2 linked regions of the Caenorhabditis elegans genome follow. The protein of the gene in region 1 interacts with the protein of each later gene in a pairwise test. Each region holds a gene or a part of one and is shown on either strand. Other genes may lie near its edges. The genes, in order: nucl-1 and mut-16.

What was found.
Region 2: the proteins of nucl-1 (region 1) and mut-16 interact in a two-hybrid assay, tested with the Caenorhabditis elegans proteins (one study listed by BioGRID).

The regions. Positions count from the first base shown.
Region 1 is NC_003282.8:8,283,401-8,299,413, reverse strand, and holds nucl-1 (Nucleolin homolog 1), read left to right. Parts: upstream 1-9,883; 5' UTR 9,884-9,895; coding exon 9,896-10,508; intron 10,509-10,554; coding exon 10,555-10,865; intron 10,866-10,965; coding exon 10,966-11,929; intron 11,930-11,973; coding exon 11,974-12,404; intron 12,405-12,465; coding exon 12,466-12,543; 3' UTR 12,544-12,827; downstream 12,828-16,013. Other genes in the region: nprl-3 (GATOR complex protein NPRL3), read right to left, coding at 1-226, 348-599, 654-769, 1,095-1,533, 1,588-1,663, 1,708-1,787, 1,878-1,921; tbce-1 (Tubulin-specific chaperone E), read right to left, coding at 2,219-2,383, 3,013-3,266, 3,317-3,728, 3,811-4,294, 4,558-4,724; K07H8.2 (SLC41A/MgtE integral membrane domain-containing protein), read right to left, coding at 5,133-5,315, 5,369-6,253, 6,307-6,483, 6,535-6,649, 7,579-7,682, 7,770-7,829; N-alpha-acetyltransferase daf-31, read right to left, coding at 8,114-8,255, 8,679-8,938, 8,991-9,137; K07H8.9 (K Homology domain-containing protein), read left to right, coding at 13,098-13,151, 13,199-13,355, 13,401-13,743, 13,878-14,088. UniProt on the Caenorhabditis elegans protein: Nucleolin is the major nucleolar protein of growing eukaryotic cells. It is found associated with intranucleolar chromatin and pre-ribosomal particles. It induces chromatin decondensation by binding to histone H1.
Region 2 is NC_003279.8:10,071,584-10,087,596, forward strand, and holds mut-16 (MUTator), read left to right. Parts: upstream 1-8,575; 5' UTR 8,576-8,578; coding exon 8,579-8,818; intron 8,819-8,862; coding exon 8,863-8,985; intron 8,986-9,026; coding exon 9,027-9,206; intron 9,207-9,252; coding exon 9,253-9,377; intron 9,378-9,829; coding exon 9,830-10,221; intron 10,222-10,271; coding exon 10,272-10,394; intron 10,395-10,439; coding exon 10,440-10,552; intron 10,553-10,632; coding exon 10,633-11,062; intron 11,063-11,261; coding exon 11,262-11,570; intron 11,571-11,620; coding exon 11,621-11,681; intron 11,682-11,731; coding exon 11,732-11,804; intron 11,805-12,339; coding exon 12,340-12,458; intron 12,459-12,766; coding exon 12,767-13,490; intron 13,491-13,783; coding exon 13,784-13,936; 3' UTR 13,937-14,125; downstream 14,126-16,013. Other genes in the region: B0379.2 (RanBD1 domain-containing protein), read right to left, coding at 1-37, 84-152, 201-203; B0379.7 (uncharacterized protein), read right to left, coding at 1,042-1,109, 1,158-1,206, 1,286-1,707, 1,756-2,446; B0379.1 (uncharacterized protein), read left to right, coding at 3,426-3,443, 3,688-3,791, 4,132-4,266, 5,562-5,651, 5,707-5,808, 5,853-6,042; scpl-1 (CTD small phosphatase-like protein 1), read right to left, coding at 14,951-15,025, 15,205-15,285, 15,368-15,453, 15,806-15,905.

The sequences.
Region 1 (16,013 bases):
TAGGATCGCGATCGAGTACGGTTTCAGAATATAGTAAAATTGATGCAACTGCATGAGCATTTGATGACGAAGCAAAGCAACGACAAGCTTCGCACGAACTCCCTGTTCGTGTAGAGGAAGGTTTTTTCGGATAAACGTATCCAGTGTTTTTGGGGGATTGAAATGAGCCAGCCCGGCAGCCAAGTGAATGGTATTGCCGAATTGAGCTGTGAACTTCTCTGCCATTCTGTAACTTGTTGAATTTCAATGTAACAATAAAATCCTTGACTAATCAAAATGTTCTATGAAAATAGTGATTTTGTTTTGAATTTATAAAATATAGTTTAAAAAACAAAAAAATTGCTCACTTATCAAGAGGTTGTGGACTTGTTGCAGATGTATAGATGTTTGTATTACATAAAGGATAAATGAGAATAGCACGTGTCCATTGCAGTAAGTGTCGAATGATCATGAAAACTTCAAAAATCGGGATTCCAGACGCCGTTGACATATCCAAAATTGAACGATCCGGACTACAATGACTGAGAAGTTTAGCAACAATCGGATTTGCATCTGGAGTTGGCCACACATCTTCGAGAAGCAAAATTCCGTGATAAGGTCTGAAAAATAGTTTTTGTAGTTCCAAAAAATGGGTTATTATAGGAAAAACTCACTTCATTTTTCTGACGATTTCATCGATTTCCTGCCTTCCTTTCGGCACTACATTTAACTTCGTCAAGGCATGTGCTTCATCACAAAATCCAAGTTCCACAAAATTTATGAGATATTTCTGGAAATGTTTTTTTAAGTCTAGATTGAATTTTATCATCCATTCGCGTAAAGTGATACTACTAGGTGCTTAAATGGTACATGATAAATTCTGTTTTTCTGAACAGGTTAGAATTTAAAATTTCAAAAGTTTTTTTTCTACATCAAATGAACAAATCTGTAAAGTCTGGCACCCTGATATCGTGACAAGACCACCATGGGAAAAATGCGTGTTCCTTTGAAATGACATGTCAAAAATATCGCGAAATTACAATAAATATTGTAATCAAAATCTGATAGAACCTTTAGTGGAAACAAATCTGAATTTAAAAGAATTTGAATCTTACATGAATATTTCCTCGATTTCGCACTTCTTCAAACATTTCAGCCAATGGTTGAACTATGAAACTAGTCTTTGCGAACTCTTCCAGAGGATGATCTTTATTAGGTTCTTCAGCATTATCTGCCCACTTGTCCTCTCGTTCCAGAAATCCAAAATAGTTTTGGAGCATGACCAAACTGACTGCAATCTTATTCGAAAGTGTTTGATATGCGGACGCTGTGTGCTGTTCACATCCGTTTTTAAGTGCAAAAACAATCGAAATCTGATAGTTGGTGGATTCACCACGTGCTTTCCATGTCTTCGGATATGCAACGAATCTTTGATTATTGATCTTCATATCGAACCCATCGTTACACGCAATTTCTTGAGTTTTGAACACATAAGCAAGCATTCCGAGAGACATGTCGAATTCTGTATCCACACGTCCGAAACCATAACTTGGACTGAAATTTTGAACGTTTGAATATTTAAATTTAAATATTCGGATTTAAACGAACTCTTTGACACTTGTAAGAACTGGCTTCACACATTGTCCTGGATTAGAGCTGGAAGGTTGTGGATCTTTCGATGGAGCTGAAAATGTTTTTTTTTTTGAGATTTTATATTGTTCAGATTACCTTTGGTAGCTGGTTTTCGATGTGGATAAATAGATACAATCTTTTCGCCGCTTTGTCCAGTGAGAAAACACATCACAGCACTGAAAATTCAAAATTATTTTTATGATAAATTGAACTTTATTCAACAAGATCACAAATAACTATTGATTTTCAGTAATTTAAAAACTCACTGAAGATGACTTTCTCTCTCGAAATCCACTTCTTTCGCTGACATTCTTCAAAAATTCAAAAAAGATTTTCTGGTATGCAATAGTAGATCACAGTACAAAAAAAACCAACAATAGTTGCGAGACCCATGCATATGACGAAATTTTCAAAAGTGAAATTTTCACTGATTGATTTTATTCCATAATCGGAATAATTGTAAATAGTATTGAAATCGATACATAACGGATAGTATTTTTAACGGACATTTTCGCTGATAAGAAATTAAGGAATTTTATGCAAGTTAAAGCTCATATATTTTGTAACAAACAATAAGTTGTGCAATAAATAATCTTCCGGTAACAATTCAATCATGTTCCACAACAAGAATATCTCGATCTTCTGAAGGTGAATAGTGTCCAAATTCTCTTAACGGATTTTCTAGTTCAATTCGGTGTTGTTTGGCTTTTTCACTCATAACGAGGTATAGACGGATTTTCGATGTATTGGGGACTTTGAAGAGACGAGCGAGCTGGAAAAAATAAAATTTTTGATGGAAGTATTTAGCCTCTATTTTTTGATGAAACTAGCCTCTATATGGGGACGCAGAAAAAAACACTTTAGACATTGATCTGAAAACACGCTCAACGGTTAATTTTAAATGCTCCGCCCACAAACTATGGGTCTCGTTAGGTATTAGGCGACAAAACCGTAAATTAAAATGTTTCAATTAGTTTTACTGATTTCGCCTATTTTTAAACATTTTTCGTCTTTTTTTGGTTCGTTTTTCATTCTTTAATGATTTTTATGTCGAAGAGATGTTTAAAAATGAAATGCTAATGATTTTTTCTATTTTGTCTCAAATTTTTATTTCATTACTTTCGGCATAAAAATCTTTGGAAACAACGGAAAACATAACAAAAAATCTTTAAAATTAGCGAAATCGGCAAAACAAACTAGAAACGTTTGATTTTACAGTTTTCTGTCAAATACCTAGCGAGACCCATTGCTCGTTACGTTTTCAATTGGAAGTGGAGCGCGTTTCTGCGTCCCCAAAATAATCGAATCAAGATAATACATTTTTAAATTAAATTCTTTGCATTTTCAAAAGTACATGCATGTCTTCTTGATTCAAATAATAATGATTGTTCATTTGCCTACCATATCTCTAATTTTCTGTATGCTCATTCCCAATGGAAGCCTTCGTGTCTCCACTCGATTTCCACATTCAATTCTAATTTTCACCACCGCAAGGCCCTTTTTTGCTGTATCAAGTGTCGGTTCTCCATGAATTTCAATCAGTCTTTTGATATCGTCTTGATGATCTTCGTTATCATTTAGACCGGCATATTTGTTCAGAAATCGAATTTCTGCAGACCTTCGTTCTACTTCTGACACATCAAACCTATTGAGATCTAGAAAAAAACATCTACTTTAAATAATTTTTAATATTTTTGAAACCAACCTATTAAAGTGCTCAACTTGGCAATTACAATCTCATAGGCATGGACACCCTTTTCAGTTGATAATTTTTTGCAATCGAACAATAACCGTTTCAAACTTTTAAGAGATCTAATGGAATTTACACTTTTCCATTCAACAATTGAATTTCTTTTTATGTTCAGATATTCGAGTTTCGGGAATTTTATCGAACCATCGAATCCGTTTAAGCTCGTAATTCCACAATTCGCCACAGAAAGTTGTGTCAAATTCGGAAAAGTTCCGTGAATGGAATCTAGTGTTTTGAATGGATTATCTTCGAGATCGAGGGATGTAAGACGAGATGAAACAGCTTCAGAAACTGAGAATCTTGTGAGATCATTACCAAACGCCACGACATCTGATGTAGAGGGGAACCGGAGAAGAATCGAGTCGATCTGAAAAATAAAAATAGCAATTCTAGACACTTTTTTTTTAATATTTCATTGGTATTCCTTTAACCTTTAATCTTTAACCTACCGAATTCTCAGATAAATTGCATTCACTAATGACCAATTTCTTACAACTATCCGAATAAACATGATCATCTCCTTCTGATTCATCATCATCTTCTTCTTCATTGAAGCATTGCATGCGATTCCTTCGTAAGTTGAGTTCTTGAATTCTAGGAAAATATTCAAGAATCTGACGAACTGTTTTCCATTTGTACAGTAGATTTCCATAAAGATTAAGTTCACGACAAAGTATAAATTGGGGAGAATCCGAGGAAGGTGGGAAGCCGACTGATCGATTATCAAGAACAATATTTATAAGTTTCTCGATATTGCTTTGTTTTGCAGCCGTTTGATCCATTCCGATCAACTCGATCTTCTTATTGGATTGCGCCAATTCAATTTCAGTTTCGACGCTCTCTTCCTCGATGTATCTGTCTTTGATTTCAAACAATAGATCAGTTGGTTTCGGTACTATTTCATGCTTCATCAATGATCCTCCATTTGGATGTCTGAAAATTTGAAAGTTCACACTTTTGTGACTAGTTTGTATTATTTAGTGACGAATTTTTAAGGGAAAGTAATTGGAGTGTTAAATACGGTAAATAATCCCCCGACACTGTATATTTAAAAGTTCATGGAGACCGCCATAAAACTATGAAAATGTGTACAGCGGAGATCACTTCCATTTTTTGTCCCAATTTGGAATTCATTTCCGACAGTTTCGAATGAGAAATGTCTATAGAATATATTTCTGATGAAAATGTCTGTTAACCTCGTCTGAAAGTATCGTTTTCCTCTCACAATTCCATCATGTTTTCCACGTGTCGGATCATCCCACTCCAATCCAACCCATCGTTGACTACCGTATCCATCGACTTCTCCAATATATCGAACTGTTGCTACTTCGAAATTTATTCGAACTCGTTGTCCTATTTCCATCTGGAAAATTGTTTTTTTTCTTGGCCCATCTTGTCAAAATTATTGGACCACTCGCGGAATAAGATGTCCAGAGATAAAAATTAATTAAATTTAAAAGTTCAAATTAACTTATTTATTCCCAAAAAATACATAGTGACTAGCGGAAAATGCAAAATGTCTATTAGATATGACCAAAAATAGCTAGAGAGAAAAATGGATCACAATGTACAGAAAATTATGCGCTTGACGGCAAATGGATATCAATCAACTCATCGGGTTTGACTAGAGTTCTGATGAAAGTGCGTTAGTTGTGAAAATGAAAAATTAGGTTAGCGAAATACTGTTTTACATGCAGATGGGGGATGAGAACCAATCTATAATAACGGGGATGCAGTTATACAATGTGGTAAAAGTTTGAACGTTTTAAAATTATGACGAAGTGAGTTCCTTTGGATCAAAATGGTCAGTAGTGAGGAATACTATGAATAGGAGTCCGGTTCCTAGGAGATCTCCAAGAGCTGTAAGATATGGAATCACAGAATTATCTGGGTCAATTTTCCATTTCCAAAGAAGAGCGACGAGAAGTTGACAAACGAATAGAAGTATGACAACCTGCAATTTTTGAAATTTTGATTATATATTTTAAATTTTCGATAAAACCTTACCTGAATGATTGCCGCAATCATATAAAGACTGGTGAAAAGTGGTCCATGGGGTGTCACATTATTCTTTGAAGTCAAAGTGAATAACTGGATAAGGAAATTGAAGCAAATATGACCAGGAACAACGAGTAACAAAAGAACTCGAGCCGATCGAGAATCCCATTCTTTTGAGAAGAATGCACGCTGAACACTGGTAAATCGACTGACAGTCCATTCATTCGGAAGAACTCCAACTGTGCCGGCTTTATGGAAATAAGTAGAGAGTCTGCTGGCTTGAACAGCAGCCAAATTCCCTCCAACACCATTCAATACTGGACCGTATGTACTCAAGCTATGATATCTTCGGACTGCGGTTTCTAATATAAATCCTCCAGCACTACTGATAAGCATTGACATGATGACTGGTGTCCATCCATTGTAGAGAGTCTCCTGTGTTCCTTCATTCTCGTTGGCAATTTTTATCCAGAAAGGAAGGAGAAGAAGGAATAATACAATCACGATAACATTGAGCCAAGATTCAGTATTATGAGCTTTGAGGAACACGGATCCGAAGAAAGCCAGTACAGTGAGTGTCGTCAGATCTCCAAGTGATGCAGCAATTGGTGTGGCCACATTATCGGGATTGATGTTGTATTTTCGAGATGTCACAATGACAACCACCATTAACAGTGATAGTACGAGGGATGCACTACATGCTGTAGCTAGGCTGCTTGCACACATCAATGCACCATGAGCCCAATCGAAATCCCCAGAAGGAATGAAAGCGAGAGCAGCGGCAAAAGCAGAAGCGAGGAAAGCGACGACAGTAGCCTGAACTTGCACAAGTGCCAAGTTGGCGATGACTACATCTTTTCGTTGTTTTGAAGAATCCATATGACCAAGGTTAGCCTGAAAAATTGATAGAAAATTATAAAATTGAATATTCTCAAGTGTAAACTCACAAGTGTTGAGAGTCGACTGGCTAGTGTCATTTCCAGATTTCCTTTAAGCCCAAGCAGTGCTGGAACTAGAATCAGAATTTCAGGGATTTCTTCGAACAAAGGCCATGTGACTACTATTGAGAGAACCAATCCAGCAAATACCATTCCAAGACCAGCGACGGCAAACGGAAAGAGAACCTGAAAACAGCAAGTTCATAATTTCTTTTGTAAAATACCTGAAAAACTTACTTGGAAAAAGAGTACATAACTCGATTCGGCAGGAATCACCGACATGTTCACAAGATCGTTTGAATGGTCGTACGTCCTCGATTTTAGTGAAGAATTTTCGTTCCTGAAACGAAAACTGGATCGGATTAATATACTGTTTGGAATATAATTTTGCAAAAAAAAATTACATAATGTAAAAGAAATGAGGAAAATTTTAAGTTCGGAATCAAAACTACGACTTTCAACTCAACTGGAAAGAAAAATGAGAAACCAAAGTATGAATGACCTCGAAAATGTAGAATCAGGTTATTTATTTGTTAGAAGTGTCGAGAATCATTGAGACATCATCTTATCACTTTTTGGCTATAGAATTTCGAAGAAATTTGTACCTACAAAGATCGTTCTAGTCAGAAATTAGAAAAAAAAACCTGTGTTAACTTTGATATATCATGAACAAGATTTAAAAAAAAACTTATATTATTGGCGAAATGTAGCTCAATTGCAGAAAAATGTAACATGAATAGTCGCTTAATTGCGTCAAACTTTTGACAATGATAATACATGAGCTCAAACTGGAATCGATGCGAAAAAGAATAACTAACCAATTTCTAATGATTTTCAGAAATTAAAAAAACAGGAAGAACATTTTTCGTTTCTTCATTTGTAAGTTATACTTGTCGTGAAATATTATAACATTCTGGGCAAAATCATAACTTTTAGTTTTGAGTCTCTATCAAAACAAATAAATTCTCTCTCCGACCTGTCAAAAAGGATCTCATTTGGTATGGAAAACTCGTGTAACACCACTCTCAATCTATTTGTTTTATGAGAGCAGAGGGAGAGGCGATGAAACGATTCGACCAAATCGGATTTGCGTTGAGGTTAAACTGTTTCTCCCTCCATAATGTGTGAGACCGAATGATTTTTGAAAACAATTCCATGTGTCTGTTCAATGTTGAAAATACGAACTCGGTAGTGAGCCAGAATTTTATTTGTTGAAATGTTAGAAAATAGTGCTACATTTTCAACAATGAGTTTTTTTTCGAGAATAACCGAATCACTTACATAACTCTGGAAAATAAACTTCCTCCTGGTGTAGCTGTTTCTGCGTCCATTGATTTACCGACATCTTCAAGTGCAATTCCCAATTGATCGAATGTTGTTAATCCCTGAAAAATTTAGATTTAAAATCTATATTTCATCTGAATCACTCAAAACTATTAAAAGGAATAACAGAGTTTTTAATAAAAACTTACTTCATGAACAGCTGATTGATAGTCCTTTTTGCCATCCCCTATTCCACCGCCACCTTTCATCTAAAACATTAACTTTAAAGGTCGAAATAAATATTTACAGATATTTGAATACAGAAATCAACTGCTTATAACATCTACAAACCATTTTAATGCTTTAAATTTATTAATGAGCTTTCAAAGGGGGATCAAAGAGATTATTCAGGGGAAAACTTAAATTTTTACCTAATCTAAAACCAGAGGAGGAAACGAGAATTGAAAGAAAAGAGATCCTCCTGAAAGGGGAGAACAGAGAAAGTATCAGAATGAACCAGTTGGAAAAGGCAAAAATAAACTTTGATAACGAATTAACTGCGATTTTTCTTTTTATCGTCAGTGGTTTTTGCAGTGGTATAGGCCTCTCGATCTGCTGGCTCGATGTTCCGTTCTTCTGCCCATTTTGCGAGATCGCGACGCATAGCGTATGCATCTTCTCCATCCGCGTAATATCTGGAATTTGTCATTTTTGTTAATAATTAGGGTTAATAAGGTTCTAAAAGTTATCATAATTTGCAAATTGAAGTATGTTTCTTCTGATTGATGCCAAAGTTTAATCACCTCGCTCGCATATTTTTGTTTATTGTTTTAAAAAAGCGCCACGTTATTAAACGTAATTATTTTTCGAAACATTTTGTCCTTTCACTGATAATCACAATAACCTTTTTCAATTTGAACTTGACTTGGAACAAAAATTAAAAATAGGTGAACCAAAAAAGAATACAAAATTATTTAATTCCATCACTTCTGTAAAAAGTATAACGTTGGAAATCGAACGGGTGATTGGGAAACGTCGATTAGAATTTTTTCAGTTGTTCATCGAGGGACGAACTAATCCGCGCCGAGAAATGAGGATTTATTCAAATTAATACTTACTTTGGCTCTGTATCCACAATTTCGAATTTCAGTGTGTTCTTGTATAGATTCAATGCGGCTCGGTTTGATACACGAACATGAAGCGATACGTATTTAGCGTTGTAGGTTTCGACCATGGCTCTTGCGGTCTGATCCATCATTTTATTAGCCAATCCCAGACGTCTGTAAGATCTTTTGACGGCCAAAGAGGTGATATGACCATGTGGCTCCTCTCCTGGGTCTTCTTCCATTTTGGCGAGAACATATCCAACAACATTTCCCTGAACAACAATAAATGTTTCAAGTCAAGATTTGCATGAGAATAAAAAATACCTTGTGATCTTCAGCAATATAAGAGAGCTGCGGCCAAGAAAGAGCGTGATAGAAGTAGTATTTCATTTGATAATTCTCTGGAAGGCACATAAGATTCGCATTTTGCATGCTCATCAAATCGTCCACGCGAGCACAACGAATGTTCATCCTGCTGCAAAGATAGAGCAGTTGAGTAAACGGCACAAAAAATTCGGAAGCGAATGCAAAAGGAGAAAAAAATAGAGATTAATGGAGGATTTGCAATATACGAGCTTGTAAAAAAGTTATAACTCGAATTCGCCGAGGGGCAATACACCGTAGAAATAGAAACGTGGATAAGGTGGCACGTGAAACTTAAGTTTTTACTAAAACAATTAGGAAAGAACTATGTATCGCAAATGACAGAGTTTTGCAAATAAAATATTTATATTAAACTATTTTGTTCAATTTTAAAAGAATATCACGCAATATAAATACGAACAAACATTCTAATTGATGAAAACGAATTCTAAAAAGTGTATAATTGACAGTTCAAACGGTTTTGATAACAAACAAAAAGAAATGTACGGAAAATCCAGTTTTTATTGATTTGTCGAATTGTTGAAAGCCGTTGCAAGCCGGCTGCCGCCAGCAAGAAAATTAACGTTTAAAGGCGCATGCATTTATTCGAGAGATCGTGGCGAGACCTGCGCCCGCTTATCGATGAATTTCGAATTTAGAAACATTCTCTTTGTGTACTTTTTCATGTTTATCACTGAAATAAATCGCTTTTCTACGTTTTTTGAAGAAATTTTCTGCTTAAAAATTACTATAATGCATAAAATATCGAAATATATCATTACAACACATTTGGTCGCTGTTATTTCCTGATTTAACTCTAATTAGGACTTCCTAACTTTATTTTATTTATTTCAGGTACAATCAAAATGGGTTTCGACTCACCAAGAGGACGCGGAGGCGGAGGCTTCCGCGGTGGTCGTGGTGGTGGCAGTGGCTTCACCCCACGTGGTGGCGGTGGTGGATTCCGAGGTGGAGATAGAGGACGTTCTCCAGGCGGATTCCGTGGAGGCGATAGAGGACGTTCATCAAGCGGATTCCGAGGAGGAGATAGAGGTCGCTCACCAGGAGGATTCCGTGGTGATCGTGAAGGTGGATTCTCCCCAAGAGGACGTGGTGGAGGCTTCCGAGGTGGTGACCGTGGTGGATTCCGAGGTGGAGATCGTGGAGGATCTCCATGGCGTGGAGGAGACCGCGGCAACTTCCGTGGAGGTGATCGTGGTGGCTCTCCATGGCGAGGAGGAGATCGTGGTGTAGCTAATCGCGGTCGAGGAGATTTCTCTGGAGGGTCCCGTGGTGGCAATAAGTTCTCCCCTAGAGGAGGCGGTCGTGGTGGCTTCACACCTCGTGGACGCGGTGGAAACGATTTCTCACCGCGCGGAGGAAGAGGAAACTTCCAATCTCGTGGGGGAGGCAGCCGAGTTGGTTTTAGCGATAAGAGAAAACAGTATGATAGTGATGGAGATGACGACGAGGAAGAGGGTATAGTGCTGATTTTAGATTTATTTGCAATTATTCAATATTCCAGAAGTCCCGAAGAAAAAGCTTGCCACCGGAACTCCGTTTGCAAAACAAACAAAACCAGTAGAAGACGATTCTGGTGAAGACGAAGAAGATGAGGAGGAGAGTGATGAGGAGCCACAACCACCAAAGAAAACTGCTAAGAGTGCCATTGCTACGGCTGCTGAAGATTCTGACGATGACGAAGAGGACGATGATGAGGAGGAGGAAGAATCTGATGATGACGCTCCGCAGGTCAAAAAGTCTGTTGCTGTTGAGGAAGATGAAGAAGATGAGGAAGACGAGGAAGAAATTGAAATGGACGAAGAAGATGAGGAGGTATGTTTTTTTTTTCTCAAAGGCTGATTTTCTTGTGAAAATTTCTTTGGAAAATGTTGCAATGTTTATTTCGAGTTTCCTTTAATATTATTGTTTTCAGGAAGAAGAGGACGAGGAGGAGACCGAGCCTGTCGCTAAAACTCCAGCTGTAAAAAGCTCTCTCAAATCTGTCGACTCCACAAAAGGAAAGCAAGTCAATTTATCTAAGGTTGCAACCCCAACTACTGTTGACAAGAAAGCACCAGCAACCCCGCATCCTGCCAAAACATCAAAAAATGCTGCCGGTGATGTTCCAAAACTGAACTTTGATGATGACAGCGACGAGGAAGATGAGGAGGATGAAGAAGTAGAGGAGGAAGACGAAGAGGAGGAGGAAGAGGAAGAAGATGTTCCAGCTAAGAAAGCTCCAGTCCTCAAGCAGTCTTTAAGTCAAATAGCTCAAGCGATTGAGGAGGACAGTGACGATGAGGATGAAGATGAAGAAGAAGAGGAGGACGAGGAAGATGAAGAAGAGGAGGAGGATACCACAAATGTCCCACTTATCAAGTCGAAAGCTGATCTTCTCAAACAGATTGCTGCAAATCGTGCTGCTGCTTCTGCTGCTCAAGATAGTGATGAAGACGAAGACGAGGAGGATGAAGAAGACGTAGAGGAAGAAGATGAAGAGGAGGAAGAGGAAGAAGATATCCCAGCTGTGAAGCCAAAAGTCACCGAAAAACAAGGAGGTGTGAAGAGAAAGCTTGATGAGCCTACCGTCGCTTCTAAACAAGTCAAGAGCGATGGTAAATCAATTATCAGTGAAGAGGAGAGAAGACGTCAAGATAGAGATTCGCGTTCTTTGTTCATCAAAGAAATTGCTAAGAAAGCAAAAGATGCTGAAATCACTGGTCTTGTAACTGGACTCGATTCTTTCCGTCGCAAAAAGAACTCGAACTTTGGATGGCTTGTATTCAACACTGTCGCAGATTGCAAGAAAGCTCACGATGTTCTTAGCAAATCTAAGATTCAAGGAAAAGCTCTTTATGTAGACTTCTGTCTCAGTGAAAGCAAAGCTCCAAAAGAACGTACGTTTTAAAATTCCTTAGCCAAGCAAAGTATAATTTTTTAGATGGAGTTCGTCCGATTAATCCTCTCCAGCTCTTCATCAACGCTCTCCCAGGAACCTGCAATAACACAGACTTGAAGAACATCTTCCGTTCATCCACAGACATTAAGATCCTTCACGCAAGTGGTCAGCCAAACTCGAAAAAGAGAGCTTTCATCACTTTTGGAACCGTAGAAGACGCTCAAGCTGCATTCGCAAAATCAAATGGATTGAAGGTTAACAATCATCTAGTCGATGTGTTCTATGCGAGACATCAAGAGACGAAGGTTGACGTGAAACCAAAGAAGGCAGCTACTCCAGCGGTTCAAAAAAAAATTGTTCCGAAAGTTGCTGCTGATTCGTCAGGTGATGACAGCGAAGAGGTGGCGTCAAGTGATGAAGGAATTCAGGAAGTTGAAGAAGAACAACCAAAACAAAAGAAGCTCGTGAAAAAGGTAATTTCTAATCCAGATTATTTTAAAACCTTTATCTTCACTTTCTACAAAAAAAATTAAGGTTGAACCGAAGACTATTCCACGTGTGCAGCAGAAAAAGCCGCAATTCAAGAAGACCGGTTTCAAGGGAAAGAAATAAATTTACCATTGTTTACCATACCACTAATCTCTTCTAGATTTATTCCATCTTGTTGATCCATCTGTTCGCTCCTTGTTAAATCCCATTTTTTTTAAATATTTTTCATTGTTGTTGGTTTTATTGTTTCTCTTGCACAAATTATCAATCCCAATTGTTGTCCCAAAACGTTTTTCATTGTTTTCCCCTGCCTCTTCACAAATCCCTTTCATTTAGGTTATTTGAGTAAGTGTGCTCGGTGTATTTGATGTGCTCGACACTATCAAAAATAAAGTCATTGAAAATATATTCAATCGTGTAATCATTTTGTCATCTGTTTTGAATTTTGGTCAGAGTTATTTTCAATTTTTAGGAACACGTTCACTTATCCTGTAAAGCACTGAATGTAATGTTGAAGGATGATAAAAGAAAGAAGATGCAGTTGCCACGTCTCTGACCTTACTCTGATTAATTTTAATCACGTCTGAATATACGCGTGACCTCCACGTCATCCCCATGATGCCACGTTGGCACGGAGCTCCGTGGCTGAAATTGTTCAGTCTTGTTCATGTTTCACCATGAACAACCATAATTGCTTTCTCACCCCTCTCCAGCAGAAATTCATGCAAATTGTTAGTTCACACCTTTATATATTTTTCAGTTATCTGTTTTTTTGCAGCTATCCGACTATGAAAGAGATCCTAAATCGATCCAAATTCATGAGGAATCCGACCAAATGGATGTAGTGATCTCTTATTTCAAGCTGCTCCTAGCTGAAAAGTCCCGTCTTCTCCAATATGGTCAGGCTAACTTCTCAGTGCATCTCATCGATGAAGGTATGAATTCCAATTTTATAGATCTAATGTTTTTATGATTTTAAGAGATCGGCCGACTCTTCATGGCTCCAATCTCAATGGCTGACATTGGAATTCTTGAAGAATGTGGACGAGAAGCACTTCGGTTTACTGATCTTGGCGCTATGTTCTCTGATTCTGATGATTCGATGCATTCGGATGAAGATGAGGTCACTTTGACTGAAAGTATTAGGATTCCAGTCGAGACTTACCCCACTTACAATTTTATTGGCCGCATCATTGGTCCTCGTGGAACGACAGCGAAGCAGCTTGAGAAAGATACCGGATGCCGAATCATGATCCGCGGAAATCATTCGAATAAGATGTACGGAAATGCATTGCACAAAACTCATGGAGATGGAAGCCAAGAGTGAGTTATACTAAAAATCATCAAAATTTTGATAGATATTACGTGACATTTTGATTTCAAATACATCATTTTATTTTCTTCAATGTATTCACGCCCCATTTAATCCGTTTAGCCCAACCCATTTTTTCTTTCAGTGCAATTGATTTGCCACTTCGCGTCATTGTCGAGACAAGCGGACCACGTCGTGAGGCAACTGCTCGGATCACTGCAGCTCTGGAAACAGTCCAAGTTCTTTTGGTTCCTCCTCCAGATGGGCGTGATGAGCTGAAGCGTAGACAACTCGTCGAGCTTGCAATCATGAACGGTACATACCGACCATCTTGCTCGAGAATTGATCATAACTAATCTTCACTATGTCCCCCCTTGTTCACCACTTCGCCTTGTTTTCCATGTTTTATACTATAAGTTTTACCTATATTCTCCCCCTTCCCGGTGCTCATCATTATCTTTGTTTCCATGTTCCCATTGTGAAATGGAATAAAACCCACTGTTTTTGGATACTCTTAAGCCTTTTTACACCCGCTTTAGGAAGATCCGCGAAAATAGAGCCGAAATGGTGAGAACGCGTTAATTATTATAGGTGACCAAGAATCCTAGGGAAAAGCTATTTTCCTAGAAGAGCGTGAGAATTTTCGAATGTATCTATATATATTTATAAATACATCACATTTCCCGGAGAAAGCAGACTTTCCAATCTACTAGCGACTGGACATATTTATTCAATGCTTGTAACTTTTTAAATAATTTTCATTACCGTCTTTTTTAAAAGACAGTCTTTAAACCCAAAAAAGATCACCCACTCTTCACCACGAGAAATAATATGATATGTTTGATGTGACGACGACAAAGACTATGAGCCAATGAGAAAACAAGACAGAATGGACGGAGAAGCTCTCATTCACTTTTCACGTACATTTTTTGTTTGAAACGAGACACGGCGGACAACTGTCCCTTGTTCTTCTCTTCTTGGATAAAAAAAACGTTTGGTTGAGTGGCTGTGACGAGTTGGAAAAAATTATTTATTTTTGGCCATTGTCATCTAGTAGAAAGCATTCTCAGGTGGTTCATTTGAGATTGTTACAAACATTAAATGGTTTGAGTTTTTTCTATTCACAATGATTAAATACTATAATTAATAAAAACGAAATAAATTCGTAGAAATTTTCCAAAAAAAGAAATTGCACTTCTCATACTGAGGTTGTCTCAATATTACAACTGTAGCATTTTAAATATCTAAAATTTTAATAAATAAACCGTATAAATTGAGACCTAAATAGCAACAACTCTTTCATTATTACACCCTCCGAATACCAATATACTCTATCTTAAAAATACTTGGTTCGATTCCCAATTCTTTACGAACACTAATCTATGTCCATCTTCACATAGTACTTCACTTCGTAATTCTCGAGGAATACTTTGTCTTTCAATTTTCGAACTCTGATGTTCCGATCAATCAATCAAAGAAAGCTCTTTGATCTAACTAAACTGACAGCTTTTTTCTATCATAATTTCTAGTGTCCTTCAACTACTGATTCCCTTTTGTCTCCCATTTCCTATCCGTTTCAAACCACTCAACAAGTTGCTCCGAGAGCTCATCTTTCAGCATTTTTCACTTGTTTTAAACAATGTCACGACTCGTTTTTCCTCTAGAAATCTATAGCAGAAACGCGAAAATTCATTGTTTATGAAGCCGAGTACTACAACTGATTCCCGGTTGTTTGGCGTTTTGGTTTTCTCGTTCTTCTTTTTTTGCTGAAAATCTAAACAAATTGTGTGACGATAACAATGGTCATTAGATTGAATTTTGGTGAGCAAAGAGTGACGCAAATAGCATTTCGTAGTGCAAAATGAAATTGAAATTGTTTCGATTTATAGAAATTGAAACAGGAAGTTGAACGAATTTGAAATAACTCTAGCTTATTATTTTTTATGATATTTTTTCCATTCCAGCTCTCCTTTTTTAACTTGATAAAATCTATAGATAAAATGAGATAAGTAACTGTTTCATGTAGGCACACAAGTGCACGCCTGCCTACTTCAACAAATTAATTTAAAACGTAGAACCAGCGTTCCCGCCAAAGTGACAAAAACACAATATTCTGACCTAAAGGTTTATATTTCTACCAGACATTTTCAGTTATTTTAGCTTAATTAGTCAAAACAAAAAGAACGCATGAAACCATGTTTCTATTTATATCTGTACTCGTCTTACACCCATTTTTTGTTTTTTTCCTTTTGCAAAACTGCGTCATTTATCTGCACTTCCT
Region 2 (16,013 bases), on another chromosome or scaffold:
TCGCTGGGCTTCTTCTAACTTCTTTTGGTTTACTTGCCTGAAAATATGAAGTTTCAATCAATGAATTGTATGGATAAACTTACACAAAATGCCGCGAAAAGGATGAACGTTGCAATTGGAAAACATTTTACAATAATTTGTAAGATGCTCTCCTGAATTACAAATTGATGAGATATTGAAGTGTTTCCTTCACAACTTACCATTTTAGAAAGTAGAACCAACTTTCACAGCTTCAAAATCAGAAAATAACGAAAATATTTCTACCAGTGGCTAAAGGTTTTCAAAAACGTTTTTTGATAATAGATTTCAAGGCCACGTTTTCATTTAATAGTGGAACAAAATTTTTTTTTTCAAACCAAATTTAAATTATATTTCCCATTTTTACCGCATCTCTTCTCGCCTTTTCTATTCGATCAAGGGATCACTGCCTAGTGTTTTCGAACAACTAGAATTCCATGTTAACTTCGTTACAAACTGCTCTCTCTTTTTCAAAAACGTTTTCCGGGGGAGAGGAGATTGAGTGCTCATTTTGAATTATTTTCTCAATTGTAACAATATTTAACTAGGTGTATCTCACTGCATTTCACGGGGTATAAGGCTGTTAACAGCATCCTCATTGCCCTCTCTATATCTATACTGGAAATCTTGTACTTGATGATAGAAACTGCTTATTTAAGCCAATTTCATCTTCATTGATTAGATTATTGAAGGGGACGCCAGAATGGGATCTAAATACATGAGAAGGACGATCTATAACATCGTAACATAGCCGTAACGGGAGGTGCTACTTCCTCTAACCCGCCCGACCTCGAAAACGTCGAAGAAAAATAAAAGTAACCATAGAATGAAAATCTTCCAACGAAATGGTAAAGTTGGTAACTTGTCGCTTCTAGAGAACATCTGTTATAAATATTTACGCAATATTTGTGAAGCTAGGTGAGCGTCTTGACCCATCGGAATTTCCTTCTATGGTTAAAATAGTATTCAAAAAAGATGCAGAACCAAATCCCTTCATTCATTTTCCAATTAAAAATCGAGAGTTCACTGTGAAGAAGATGGATCTTTCTCTACTTTCTCAGCTGACTTCTTTGCCTTCGCCTTGCTGCGCTCTGAAAGAATCACATTTGAATCTAGAAACAATTATTAAAACAACTCACTCTTCTTCTTGCGATTCTTCTTCGATTTCTTCGAGTTAACACTGCTCGCCTAAATTTTTCAAATTATTCAGAAAATCACGTGTTTTGTGGGACATTTAGCTGATTCTTGAGAATCATGAGTTACTGACAGTCGATCCGCTCTTCTGTTCTCCACCAAGTTCAATTGCAGTCTTCACGTCAGATTCTGGTGCATCAGATTTTGCCTCGATTGCAGACTTAACATCACTCTCAAAAGCATCGTTCTTTGCTTCGGCGGCAGTCTTGACTCCTGATTCAGGAACATCATTCTTTACCTCTGCAGCAGTCTTCACACCAGATTCTGGAATGTCGTTTTTGGCTTCAGAAGCGGTTTTGACATCAGGTTCTGGAGTATCTTGAACTGGAGATTGGATTGACATGGCAGTGTTCACATTTGATTCAGGAGCATCGTTACGAAGTTCGTTGGCAGTTTGAACTCCAGTTTCCGGTTGATTTGGAGTTGGAGGCTCAGAAGTAGATGTGCTCTTTCCCTTGCTTTTCTTATTTTTCTTGTTTTTGCGACTGTTTGATTCTGAAATTTTGAATATTCGGATAGTATTCAAACTTTTATCAAACTCACTCTTCTTATCCTTCGACTTCTTGTTCTTCTTCTTTTTAATTTTCTTCGATTTCTTCGATTCAGTAGAAGCAGGAGCAGAAGATGATTGATCAGATGAAGCAGGTCCAGAATCCACAGCCAATCTCTCCGATTTTCCACCGACACCATTGGAAGTATTATCCTTTGGGCCCAAAATAACCGAGTTCCCACCTCCAGAAGCATTCTCAGTTGGAGCCATCCTCTCGGATTTCCCACCAATTCCTCCATAAACATTGTCCTTCGGCGCCAACAATACAGAGTCTCTACCAATTGGTTTAATTGGAGAGCTCAAAGGATCAACTGGAGTTGGCTGTTCTGCAGTGACTGGAGTTGGCTCGGGGATTGGAGCAGGAGCACCTTGAGTGATTTCTTGAACTGGAGCGGACACTTGTGTTGGTTGCTGAGGGACTTCAGGAGTTGGTTCCGGGCATTGAACTGGAGCAGGAGCAGATTCCGGAGCAGGTGCAGGGGTCGGTTGTTCGAGTTGTTGAGGTGGAGCAGCTGCAGGCTGTTCAGTAACAGGCACAGTCTTCGGAGATGATCTCGAGCTTTTTGTGGAACGAGTGCTTCTTGAACTTCTTTGAGATGTCGTTGCATTCTTGCCATTCTCACTGTTCTTGAAGTAGAAGTAGGCCAGAACAGCGACAATTGCCAGTAGGACGTACACGATCATTGGTTTTGGTGCTGACTTTTTGTTGATTCCAATCTGAAACAATATTATTTTTGTTTCACAGTAATAAAAACTGGCGACGTTTTGGGGCAACCTCTTACCAAACGTTGGAAACTTTCTGCCAACAATTTTGAGTTTTATTAAAATCCCCTCAAGTTGGAAAGTTGAAAACATTTGGTAGAAAGTTTTCTCCCAAATGCAGAAAAAGTTGAGAGTGAATCTTTCTAGATGTGCAACTTCAGTGGCCGAAGAGGCTAGCAACCCCACTCTACTACTTCAAAAGCAATCATCTGAAATTTAAAACTCACCAGTCAATGTGTCACGTGTCTGAAGATGAAAAGGGAAGAAGTCGTCCTTCGTAAATTCGAAACTGAATTTATCGACAAGTTTGTGATTGTTTTTTCTTTTCTTATCTAACGTAGAATCTTCACGGCTTTATTTTTCCAATTCGAAATGTCATAATTTTTTCTTTTTCCTAATTTTTATGTGAACATATTTCATAAGATATTTGCACTTGCACCTACAACTATCCTCCGTGAATTAACTCAATTACCATGTTTAATATAAGAAATACAGTAATTTGTTTTCTGGCATTTTTCCTTATATTTTTCAAGTTATCGCAGAAAGTATTGCAGTTTCTATCGAAGTTTTGGCTTCAGAATATATTTTTGTGTTTCTTTTTTGTGTGCTTTTGTCTCCTCGTGTTCTCACGATCATCTCGAAATCTGCCAAAACTCCTGTGGCAACATATCTCTCCACTGATCCTCCAAGTGGTTTTCATTAATCACTGACTACTTCTCTTCTCAACCTGTCTAACACATCTCTCGGTTGCCCTCAAAATCTCGATTCTTCTGATCTTCCGCCCCCATCTGACATCAGCTGTTTGTTGTCTTCTCTCTCTCAAAACTCCGCCTAGTTTTTCTCTTCTTGCTCAAACTCTTTACTTCAGTCTCTTCTTCTTTTCCATCGAGACAACAACAACATGGGCGCCTTCGATCGCGTGAGTTTTCATCTTCGAAAATGTTATTATTTTGACATTATCTAGTTCCTAGGGGTGTCAGTGAAAAATATAAATTATTGAGGAACTTTTATTTTTTAAAAATTTCGAACGGTTTTCTGCAAAAAATAAAATCAACTATAAGAAGTATTTATATATGTCAACGCCTAGACTAAAGCTAAAGATCGAGTCTAAGCCTAATCCAGAGCCAAAACCTTAGCTAAATCCTAAAAATCGATGTGTTCAGGTGAAAGCTCAAGTTGCATCCGACTCAAAATGGACATCAGCTCCTTACAAGGGATTTGTGGCCGGAAGCCCATCAAACACGTATATTGATATTGTTTCCACTGCGTGAGTTTTCAACATGCAACCTATCCTGAAGCTTTTTAAAATTAATTGTAAGATAATCAAATTGTCATGTTTCACTCTTTGAATTCTCAGCAAATTTCAAAGTATTACGTTGATTTATTGTATCAATTTGTTTGTTGGAGATGATACTGCTGTTCGCAACCGCAACGAGACCAACTTCGTCTCTAGCACAGCGTGGACCCAAAATTTCACGAAACAAATGAAACGGTTTTCTACAACGTAGAAACGCCAAAACGCCAAAAACGCCAAGAATGTCTCTCTCAAAAAATAAAATTGCTAATTGACTTACAGTCATCAGCTGAAAAGTCCGAAAATATTTCAGCTTTGAAGACGCCACTAACACGATGAATTTTGCTCGTCACTCGAAATACGATGAAATGTATTCTCCTTATCTCGGATCATTCCGCGAACGACACAATTATACTTCAATTGCTCCAAGCTTGTGTATTAACAAAACGTTAGTTTTTATTTGGTGATACATGTGTACTCTTTCCGTATTAAAGTTCTCTCTCATTTTTTATCAGTTTTAGATTGAGTAAACTCGTGCGAAAGTTATATTACTCGGCGTTTGCCGCCAGCTTCCTACCCAAGGCTTCGCAACTTCTTACCCAAGGCTTGCCCAAAAAATAAAAACATTTATAAGGAGCTGCCAAGACTTGGGTAAACCTTGGGCAAGAGTTGGACGCCGTCTCAAAAATGAAAAAAGTCGTCGACTGCCTCGTCGTCCCGAGGCGTCGCCCAAGTCTTACCCAAGTCTTACCCAAGTTTTGCCTATTTCTTACCCAATTTATACCTGTGTGTTGAACTTTGATCTCATTTCCCGTTGTGCCGAAGTCTTACCTGCTGAGCCATGATGGTCGCGCGAAAAGATCCACACTAGTAATTATATATCGTACTCATATTCTGATAGATATTTTTGAGGAAGTACCAGACATATCTGATTGATACGGTATTCTCACATACCTTATTTCATTTGTTTTCAAGTTTGTTTTCAATACCTAATGATTCTAAGTTCAGAATTTACAGAATTACTGTAATTCATGTTTGTTTCATGTCTCTCAATTTTATAAAAGTTTACATTTCAAAAGAACAGTTCAGTCTTAGAAAAATTCAAAATTTGATGCATAGGATTGACTGACTATTATTTGACTATTGGACTGACTAGGAGAAGAATCATCCTGAAGATAACTTTTCTTTTTATTTTTAGAAAAATTATATGGTTTATTAGACAAAATGGCAATAAAAATCAGACTTTGTTCGTACATTTTTTTAAACAATGTTAGCCACCAGAGAAAAATATTTAGAATTTGCCTTTGAAGGGACAAGTTTTCCTGTGAATTCTTTCAATTACATTGAAATTCCTCTATTTTAAATACAAATTAATCAAAAGACAAAGTGTCGATTTACGCTAAACATTGCGCATGCGGGATTTCGGAATCTTGTTCGTTCTTTACATCTGCAAACTTGGGTAAGAAGTTGGCAAAACTTGGCTAAGACTTGGGCAGAACTCGGGCGAGGGAGTTTACACTAGAATTGTTGAAGTTGGGTAAGACTTGGGCATACTCTGGGTTAGAAGTTGGCAAGAGTTGGGTAAGAAGCTGAAAAGGCCCAAACTTGGGGAAGAAGCTGTCGGGAATTGCCGAGTAGTCTTGCACCCTTACGGGTCAATTGAAAATTAGTCTTGCAAATAAAACTAATAGAGGAAATACGGTAATAACTTTCAGACACCTGAATTTGTTGAAATGTTTTCAGAAACCGTGCCATCGAGTATGACCTGGCACCACACAAGGCTTACAATCCACGACAATCCGAATGGCTTCTTGAAAAAGACAAGAAATATAGGTAAAACTTTTGGTGTTTTAGAACCAACTGGAAACCAAACTTGTCATTTTTATAGAGTTCGTGGTGCTCGTAATTTAATTTACACAAAAAGCGCATCGGATATCAGTTTGCCTCCACTGACACGTCGCACATTCACAGTTCCAACAGATACTCTTCGGTTCGTCTAGGCAATTTGCTTTCCTTGCTAACCTGTTATTTCAGTCATCAGAATCAATTTCTCTACTGGAATGGTCGTGCACTTGGTCTTGACTATGTTGCTCCATTCCTTCGTCGTGAAGATTATTCTCGTCACGAGGATCGCCGTTATCAGAGAATTTACTGGTCTCCACATTTCATTGATTTGCTTCCATCTTGCCGTCATTCTGCACATCTTATGCTTTCCGCTTATTAAATCACTTCCAGATGTTCTTTTTCCTTTTTCTGTGTTTTTCTGCCGTCGACTTCCTATGTTTCTTTCCGTGTTCTCAACAGGGGTGTAATAAGCTTCAAGTGTCTAATAAAACGATTCGAAACAGATTTCCTTTGCATATTTTATTTGTCTGTCACAAAAAAAACATGAATGAAAAAAAAAACAAAAAAGACCCAAACATGCAATAAGAGGAGGTAATTAACGGAGGAGTAGAATTTGTGGTTGTTACACTCAAATGTATTGAAACTTTCCCGAAAAAACCAAATTTCATATACTGAGATATCTCATAAAAATTTAATGTAAATTATCACTTTTCCAAATGACGAGTTCGACACAAAATTCGATGAATACCAAGGTTGCAAGTTGTCCATCATTTCTCTCAATATCATATCCATCTGTACAATCGAGTTCTTCCATTTTGTATCTGAATATTATTTTTCGATGTTTACAAATTTTTGGATTTCGTATTTGGGTAATTTTTATAGCTAACCAGCCGCAACCCTAAAATACGACTATAATACCCCGACGGCGCCAGATCCGCTTCGTACATTTAACGCTAATTCTCTTACTTCGTCTTTAACTAGGAAATTACAAGAATATACGATGAATGTACGAATGGGGGAGATTGAAAATCTTCGCAAAGTCTGTGAATGTGCTATGAAGCGATTTGCCGATAGCAAGTTAGAAGCTTTCTTCTGGATAAGAAGAAACCTCTGCTCAACTGTTATTGGACGATCTCAACATAGTCACAGATTGTATTGTTAGAATAAAAAATAAAATACTGTTAACATTGCATGACTGATCGGTTTTTTCGACGTGGAATCAGTTCTAAGCTGTTCGCTCACAAATCCCTGATACAAATTCCAATCATTTTGAAATAAAAATGCTTTAAAATTTCACTGTTCATTCCTAGATTGCAAACTTTTGGGTGACGTAGGTTCTTTGGAGACAAAGTGTCCAAAGTGACAAAGGATCCAGTAGACAAAATGGGGTGTATCTTGGGGCCAAGGATCAATGGTACCAACCTTTTTTCAACTAGTTTCTTATATGTATTTTTCAGCTAATTTTTGTTTATATTTCACTGGAAAAAGTTTTTTTAATGCACTTTCCATAGGATTTTCGGTCATAATTCGCTCAGATAAACTTGTAAATGTCCTTTCCGATCGATTTATTCACTCGATTAGTCGTTGAATGTATATGGTGAGTGAGATTATGCGATGCTCAAAATGAATTTTCAATTTTCCCGCCGATACAGAAACTAATTTTGATTAAGGAACATTGTGGTGAGTGCGCGTCTGGTCCCGACGCGAAATTAATTTTAATGCTTTGAAACTTTTTTCTAATATTTTCGTTAAAAATTAAGGTTTATAGCCTTCAAAAATTATATATGGTCTTCAATAATTTTTTATTAAAGCTTTCAAATATTTAAATCTGAAATCTTAACCAAATTTTAAAACTACATACGATTTAATTTGAAATCATACACGTGAAATGAGTGTGACCGTAGTAGAAGCGCCGCTTTGTTTGAGTTGTATTTGAAAAATGTATTTTCTCCTTTTCAACTTTTAAAACTGCGATTTACTTCACCATATTCGTTATTTCTTTTCGTTTTCAAAGTAATTATTGTTTAGCTATTCAAAAAATTACTAAAAAGCGATAAAATTCGAAACAGAAGGTGTTAATTAACATGTTAATTGATCCTTTTGTGGCCTAAAAATAAACTATTTACCGATACACTTTCATAATAGTTCTTTCGGAAAATTAAAGTACTTTTTTGTCGATCGGTTTGAGAAAATGTGCCGGTGAATTTGATTTTATATATATATTTTTCAATTTTAAAAGCCAGTTTATCGTATACAAACAAATTTCTGTTATGTTTTAATGAAGCGACTGTTCATTAGTTTAAAAAACATGCCGATTTAGATGATTTTTTAGTTTCAAAACGTTTTCTTCAATTCTAATACTTGTTTTCGATAGAAATTCAACTTTTCCTGAACGCAATGCAATCGCGCTCTATCGACGTTTCAATGAATAACCGTCAATCATCTGCTTGCCGATCGAATATTTAGAACGCGTTTTATTGCTCCTTAACATTTTTTATCATTATTTCAATTGAAAAAACCATTTAAACAGTTTTCCAATCAGTTTGTTTCAAAATTGCCTTCCAGATCGAATTTCATTTAAATCTCAAGCACTGGAAATTGAAGAACAAGCTTCCGAATTCAAAAACAAAACAAAATATTAACTGTTAAAAATCTTTATAATCTATGATTATTGTTTATTGCAGACTTATCGGCTCAAAATGAAATGAATTAACGCAACAGTGCACGACTTGAAGTTTTAGCTATTATATATATTATTGAGAGACCTTATTACAAATTTCGCTTGTTTGTCCCAGAATCGTAATACTTCCTGGAATAGAAAGTTTTCTTTAATGCCTCTAGCAAATTATCGTTTACTTCTCATTTATTGCCGTTCAAACGTTTCAACCCACTCAAATACTCGATATTTGCAGAAAATGTCCGAAAGTGATGATGATTATCCGGAATTAGACATCTCCGATCAATATATCGATCCATTGGGGATCGTTGTTGGTCCACCACCCGCCTCGTATACGGAAACTGATCGTGAAGAAACTCCCATGCAAAATCGAACTGAAGATGACACTAATAGCTATGGAAATTCATCGGGTGAACATGACTACGATAGTTATTTGGATTCAGGAGACGATGACTTTGACGTGGATGCCTACTATGCGGTAAGATTCGTGTTCGTATATTTCAATTTTATTTTCTGATTCAGAATGACAATATGGATGAACCTCCACCAGAAACGATACCGGACAATCTTATACAAAACGTCATCGGAAGAAATGATAACGCCGATTATGATTTCAGCGATGCAAGTAATCCAGAAATCATGAAGGTATTTAAATACTTATATGATCTCGTGACCTAATGGTTTAGCGTGATCTTCAGCTGTTCCTGAGCTCTTCATTGCTGAGCAATCCATTGAAATTCCGTTCTGGATACTCCTCGGATGAATTGGATGATTGTTTGAAATCTTGTATGGGATACAGTCTTCAAGTAACAGCTGTTTTATTGCTTCCTCCAGAAATTATTTCTCAGCTTCCAAACGATTCCAAGGTAAATTACAATGTGCATAGGGAGACTATAACTTAATTGTTTTCAGACCGAACACGCCCATGCACTTGTACGAGGAGGTTGGCTGCAGTCCAAAGAGGGCGCATTCTTTCCAGTCATTTCCGATTCAGAACGTGAGACTGTTGTTTCGTTGATGAATGGATCCGAAGAACAGTGCGTTTTTTTTGTCACGAAAAGCTCTGAACGACTCGAAATAAGGCACCGGCGATCAGAGAGACGCTATTACAGGCTTTTTTTGTGGAAATTTTTATGTGAATTATTGTTAAAAACAGCAATTAATTTGTTTTTTGCACTGAAACCCCGTCATAATTGCTCTCGTAAATCGATATAATTCCCTATGTTCATGGAATAATCGAATTTGAATTATTTTATTCTTGTTTTGAACATATTTTTTCAAAATCAATAGCGAAATTGCTCAAATTCCATTTTTTTTAATCGAATGACTATTGTGCCGATTCACGAGAGAAATTAAGAAAATATTTCAGTACAAAAAAAAAAAATATATAAGTTAAATATTTCTGAGCTCTCCTTGCCAAATCACCACAAAAAAAACACAGTCTCTTCGATCGGTGGTGTTTCCTCGAAATGGCGTATAAAATTTGCAGGCACAAACGCCAGGAAAGGAAGAAAAAGGAAGCAGATACATTTGAATCCGAAGAGAAGGAAATTCGTACTCTACTCACATTCAACATGATTGCGGAATTGTTAATGGCTGTCAGAAATGAATATAGCATTCGTTCAGTTAAATATCAAATTCTTTCAACTGCTTATACAAATATGGTTACTGGTGCGGCACATGCGAATATTTTTCGAAAATATAAGGATATTCTTCAACTCGATCCAGAAAAACTGTGGAATAATGATTGGTTCAAAGAGTATACAAATCGAGGAACACTGAAGAAGTTTCTAACAACTGCAAGATTTTCTGAAATTGTGGTTTCACAAGCCAACGGCAAAACTGTAGAACTCTATTTTAGAGCTGACGATGAAGGAAACCGTGAGTAACTAAAAATATTTTCGATTTATTTTCAACGTTTGTTCATTCAGGACCAGTTGTTCTTTTCACTGATGAACATATTGCGGATGTTAGGAACAAATGGAAAACCGGCAATCAGAGAAATCAGAACTACGGAAGCCAAGGCAATTATAGGGCCGGTGGACAGAGATCAGGTACATTGCATTTTTTGTGATTATCTAAAAATCTTTCTTTTCTAGATGATCGTCGTGGTCCACAACAACGCAGAAATGTAATTGTACCAGATCCGAATTATCAACCATCGACTTTTGCTGGGGGCATTTCTAACAATGCAGATGATGATGGATCGTTGGTGAGTGCGATAAAAAAAACATTCATTATTCACAAAATTCTTTGTGTGCAATATAGAAATGAAATTTATGTGATTTTCAGCAACCAACAACTTCATCGCACTTTAATCGAAATACTGATCGGTCAACATCTCGTCCTCCACGTGCACCCACTTCTCCAGTCAATCGTGTGATGGAAACAGATCCACTAATGGGCCAAGGCACTTCGTCCGGAGCCCCTCAACGATCCGCGATTCCGAATCCATTTGGTGGAGCACCAGCTCTTAGCAGAAGCACAATCACCAATGGTAACCGTGGTCCTTCATATGGAGATCGTGGTGAGCGTGTTCAAGATGTCGGTGATACGACATCAGATAGTGAAATCACTTCTGAAGGATCCTACTCTGATGAAGATCCCGAGCAAAAGGAGATTAAGCGTCAAAGAAGAAAGGATAAACTTAAAAAGAAACAGGAAAGAGAACTAAGAAGTCGTGAGAAGCACACGAAGTCTAAGCAGCAACCTCCTTCGAAAAGTACGAATTTTATCATTTCCAAAGCGGAGTTTAGTGAATGGGGATGATGCTTCGTTTTTTTTCATTTTTCTATTGTGGTATTTCTGAACTTGAGACTATTTTAAATTTTTGAACTTTCAAACACCAACGATATTCCGCCTTACAAAAATTTTCCAAAATCACCAATTTGAACTATTAAATTTATGAAAATCTATTTCAGTTGAGACTCGATTCAATACGTACAAGAAAAAATCAGAATCATCTGCTACTGACACTTCCAATACACCTCCAGTTGACACTGTGAATGTAGCTCTCCCGACTCCAGTAGTAGAATCGTCTTCTACGACCGCAGCACCGTCAATCCCTGTTTCGACACGTCCTGAAGTCGTCGTTCCACCTGAGAATCCAGCTCCACTCAGAGAAGTCGGAAATTTCTACTCTAAATCGAATCACGACGAGGATAGACGCAATGTTCAACTTCCTTTCACACCAGCGGATACGCACAAACCGATTAAAGTTGCGCCAAAAGGTATTTTAAGCAGTTTAGGACTCGTCTTAATAGCCTAAAATCAGTTTCAGAGCCTGTACGGAATCCGCTTTTGAAAGAACGACCTTCAGCCAATGGTTTCATCAACAGAAGGTTCCTAGCTTTAAAATTTAATCTTTCAATTACCAAAAAAATTATTGCAGACTGCCATCACATCCAGCACCACCACCAGTCAACCAAAGTCAACCAGCCAATCAACCAATGCAAACAGCTGTGGTAATTTCATTTTTAATAATATTTTAAGTCTAAACATTCTATCCACACTTACGTTAGAAAAAATTGTTAGAAAAATCTAATGCCTCCGTGCATTTCTGTACCACTGAAATTTCATAGTGATCCAATTTTAATGACCGTAGTCTTGAGAACTTTGACTGTGTATCTACAACAAATATTTGAAAATTTGCGAAAAATTGTTCACATGATTACATTTTCGATCTATTTTTGCTGTTTTCGAAATAGTTTTGCTTCACAGTTCGGATAAAGTTGAGAGAAATGTGAAATTATAATTTATTGAGTTCTCTGGAAGACAGAAAAAATTAACAGAAAAACTGAAAGAAAACAGTATTGTTCACGTGAACAAGAATTGGGACATTCTTTTAAAAGACTGAAGATCTTTTCCATTAATTTATTGTCCAACACAGTCAGAAACTTTTCGAAGTGATGCGTTGGGTATTTGAACCATATTTCTTTAACCATGTTCGTTTTTTTCTCAAATCCTACAAGTTTGAAGTCATAATCATTATCTTTTCAGTATCAAAACTCTCATCCGGGTGCACCATATATCCCTCAACAGCCAACATATCAGCCACAGCTTCCTGTACAACAACCTCAACCACATCAATATGCGCCTCAACCAATACATCATCAACAGTAAGGATTATACTTAAAAATTCATTCCAAAAGTTAAATAAAGAACGCTCAAATGGACCCAAATCGAATTTTTTGATAAGATTTCGCAAAAATTTCCGAAATAAAAAAACTCTTTTTCGGTTAATAAATTCATAAATTTGACAATATTTTCAAGAAATTTGATATTATTTGACCATCTTTAAAAGTAATGTAAAACAATTCGCGTAATAATTGTAGTCTTGGGGTTTTCATGCAAGCAAAAGACATATCCTTTTTTGCTAAAATTGAGAAAAAAAAACAGAAAAATTCACAAAACTAACATTTTTCAGGCCAATCCACCAACCGATGCACGGCCAACAGTATCCGCCAGTTAATCAGCAGCAACCAATCTATCAACAACCGGCACCACAGTATCCACCATACAATTCAATTCAGAACAACCCTCAACATGGTCCTTCTCCATTTAATTATTCTCAAGTGCCACAACCTGCTTATAATCACGTTGGCCAACAACCATCACATATGAGCAATCAACCTCATATCAATCAAAATGGATATCAAAATTCGTACAATCCGAATCAGGGTCCGACTTCTTCCGATCCAAATTATGGATGTAATCCACAATTCAATCATTATGGCAGTAGATCAGTTTATCATGAAGATCATTCATCACAAAGAAGAAGATCACCTGATCAGTTTCCACCAAATCCTCCAGAATACGATCCACACGGAAACTTCAAACTTGCTGATTATGAAAGAGATCGAATGACAGTCGGATACAGTCAAAATCCACATCAATTTGACCATCACGGAAGTCATATGCCTCATCAGTCACAACCACAAGGATATGACAATTTTAACGGAAATTCTGCGCCGTACTTTAATAAAAACGGAGGACAATCAAACCATCAACCGGAAGCTCAAAGATCTTTTAGTGTTCTCTCTTCGAATCGTCAGCCATCGAACAGGGAATTAATATTTCAAGATGGAATTGAGAAGGAATTGAGAGATATAATTCTCCGTTATCGAAGCATGAACTTGACAGTATTGACAGTAAGTAGTAATTTTCGTTGAAAGTTTCAATTTGTTCTACGATGTGATATTAGTAATTATATAAAAAGTATTACGAGAAAATTTGATTGACACATACGAAAAAAATCTTTAAAAATAAAGAGTATTTTCAAATCATCTCTACACTATATTTTCGTATAATTAAAACAAGCTTTTTACTTCGAAAAATGCCATGTTTTTTCTTTCAAAAAGACTTCTTGATTAGAGTAACTGTACCAATTTTATGTTAAGTTTTTTTAATGAAAAGGTTTTCGTTAAAAGTGAATTATTTTCAGGTACAAGAACTGAGAACAGAAGTGAGCAGACGTCCTGCTATTCCTCGGTACATTGATATTGTCCAATATATTAGAGATTCTTCATCGGTTGCTATAGTGGAAAGAGGTGACATTGAGCCGTATGTCGTTTTGAAAGATGATATCCGAAACTAAGAATTTACTTGTTCCTATTACTGTTCCATTTTTATTTGTATTCACCCACTCGTCTCAATTTTTTCATTTTTTCTAAACCCATGTTTTTTTTTTTTAATTTTCGTTCTTATTGACTGCCTACTGATTATTACCTGTTTTTTCATACTTGAATCGCCAAACTTTCCTAATTAATATTTTTACGAGTCCAAATTTGTGTTTTAATATTTATAAAAAGTAGAAGAACCGGGAGTCAACTGATAATAATAATACTGCACGAATATTGGTGGTGACGGTGACAATTCAAAACAGGGATACGTGTCTCTGGGAAAGGGATGAAGGGAAAACTCGGGTTGAAAATTGGAACGAAGGCACTGGATGGAGGATGAGGGATGCACGTTTTCAGTATTTGGGGGTGATTGCTTCAGAATTGGCAACTTTTTGAATCTAATTACTGTTTTCCTTTTCTTTGGAATTTCAGAAATATTAGATTCAAAAAGAGAAAATAGCTCGTATTTACAGCATAATTATACTAAAACGAATGACAAAGTGCAACTACGTAGGGGAAAAATACAAGAAAACACAAAATGACAAATTTTGCAAATTTTGGTGAAACTATTTTGGAGAAAAATGTTGTCCAAAAAAGGATACACACTACGACGGTTTTGAAACTAAAATTTTTCTTTTTTGGAAACACTAATAAGGGGCAATAATTTGATATTAAAAGATCACAATTCGGATGAGAATGATGATGATGCGATGGGGGGGGGGGGGGGGGGGACTGTGGAGAATTTAACTGGTAAAAAAGGAAAACAAAGAAGGGCAAGTGGGACAGAAAAAATCCAATTAGAAATCTGAGAGAAAATGGGAAGAGAGTGGGGAATCCTGAGTGGATATGTATTTTCATTCGAATTTATTTCGGAAAGATTTGGATTTTTATTTGGGAAAAGGCAATTATAGTACTTTTGTGATTTGAGCTACGACGACGTCTCGAACAAGAAAACAGCTACTTTGTGAATTTATGATATGACGTATTAATTAGCAAGAGCAGTGATTCAGAAGCTCGGATTGTGGTCCTTCTTCTGGTCGATACAGATCATAGATGCTTGAGAACTGAAAAATGTTATTTTTACTTTTAAATTAGGCGATTTTGAAAGAGTTTTTCAAAATAATTTTGAATTTCCAGTATATTCAGTATTCAGTCACTTTTTCTTAACAAAAACTTGCCCAATTAATTCTCATAGAAAATTTTGGCCAATAAATAGTTTTCAAAAAAAAAATTAAATCCAAACCCCGTTTAAGTGCTCCAAAGATGGAAGAATATCCAAAAGCTCTGTATCTGAAGGATCATCAAACCACGTCGTCACTGGTACCTGAAATAAAATAAAATTTTGAATTATAGTTGAAGTTATCGTGGAAAAAAATTGGAAAAATGAAAAACTACAGTATCCTTACCGCATTTTCAGGATGGAATGCATAACTGGCTGGTGAATTGTCGATAATCAAAGTTTGATTCAGATTTCTTCCCAGTCGACTCAAATCTACAAAATGGGGGTTTAAAAAGAAATTTGTAAAATATTAATTTTTCAACAAAAAATACGCTCTGCAATTTTTAAAAATAGAAAATATTAATACAATATTTTTCGATTTTCTCCGGAAAATATGAAGAAAAGTGCAAGTTTTTCATTTTTCGATAATCAATTTCTCCAAAAATCTCGGAAAAAAATATGAAGGAATCTGAGATATTCGATTTTCTCTGGAAAAATACAGAAAAATCGGATTTTTCTTCGATTTTATTTTCATTTTTTGTTTTTAGAAAATCATGAAAAATAGACTTTTCCCCGAAAAAATAAAGAAAAATCGAAAATTTTCCAAAAAACTAAAAACCATTACCTTTTACATAATTACCCTTATGGAATACACACGCTTCACGGAAAAGTCGTCCTCTGAATACCCGTTTCTTGTCCAATAAATCAGCCACAGGATCAGCGTACTGAAAATTAATATTTGAGTTTCAGAATTTTTTCATTGAAAAAAAATCGATCGACTACCGTAGTAAGAAAATTTTGTAAGAAAAGTCTGAAAATTGACAGTTTTACGT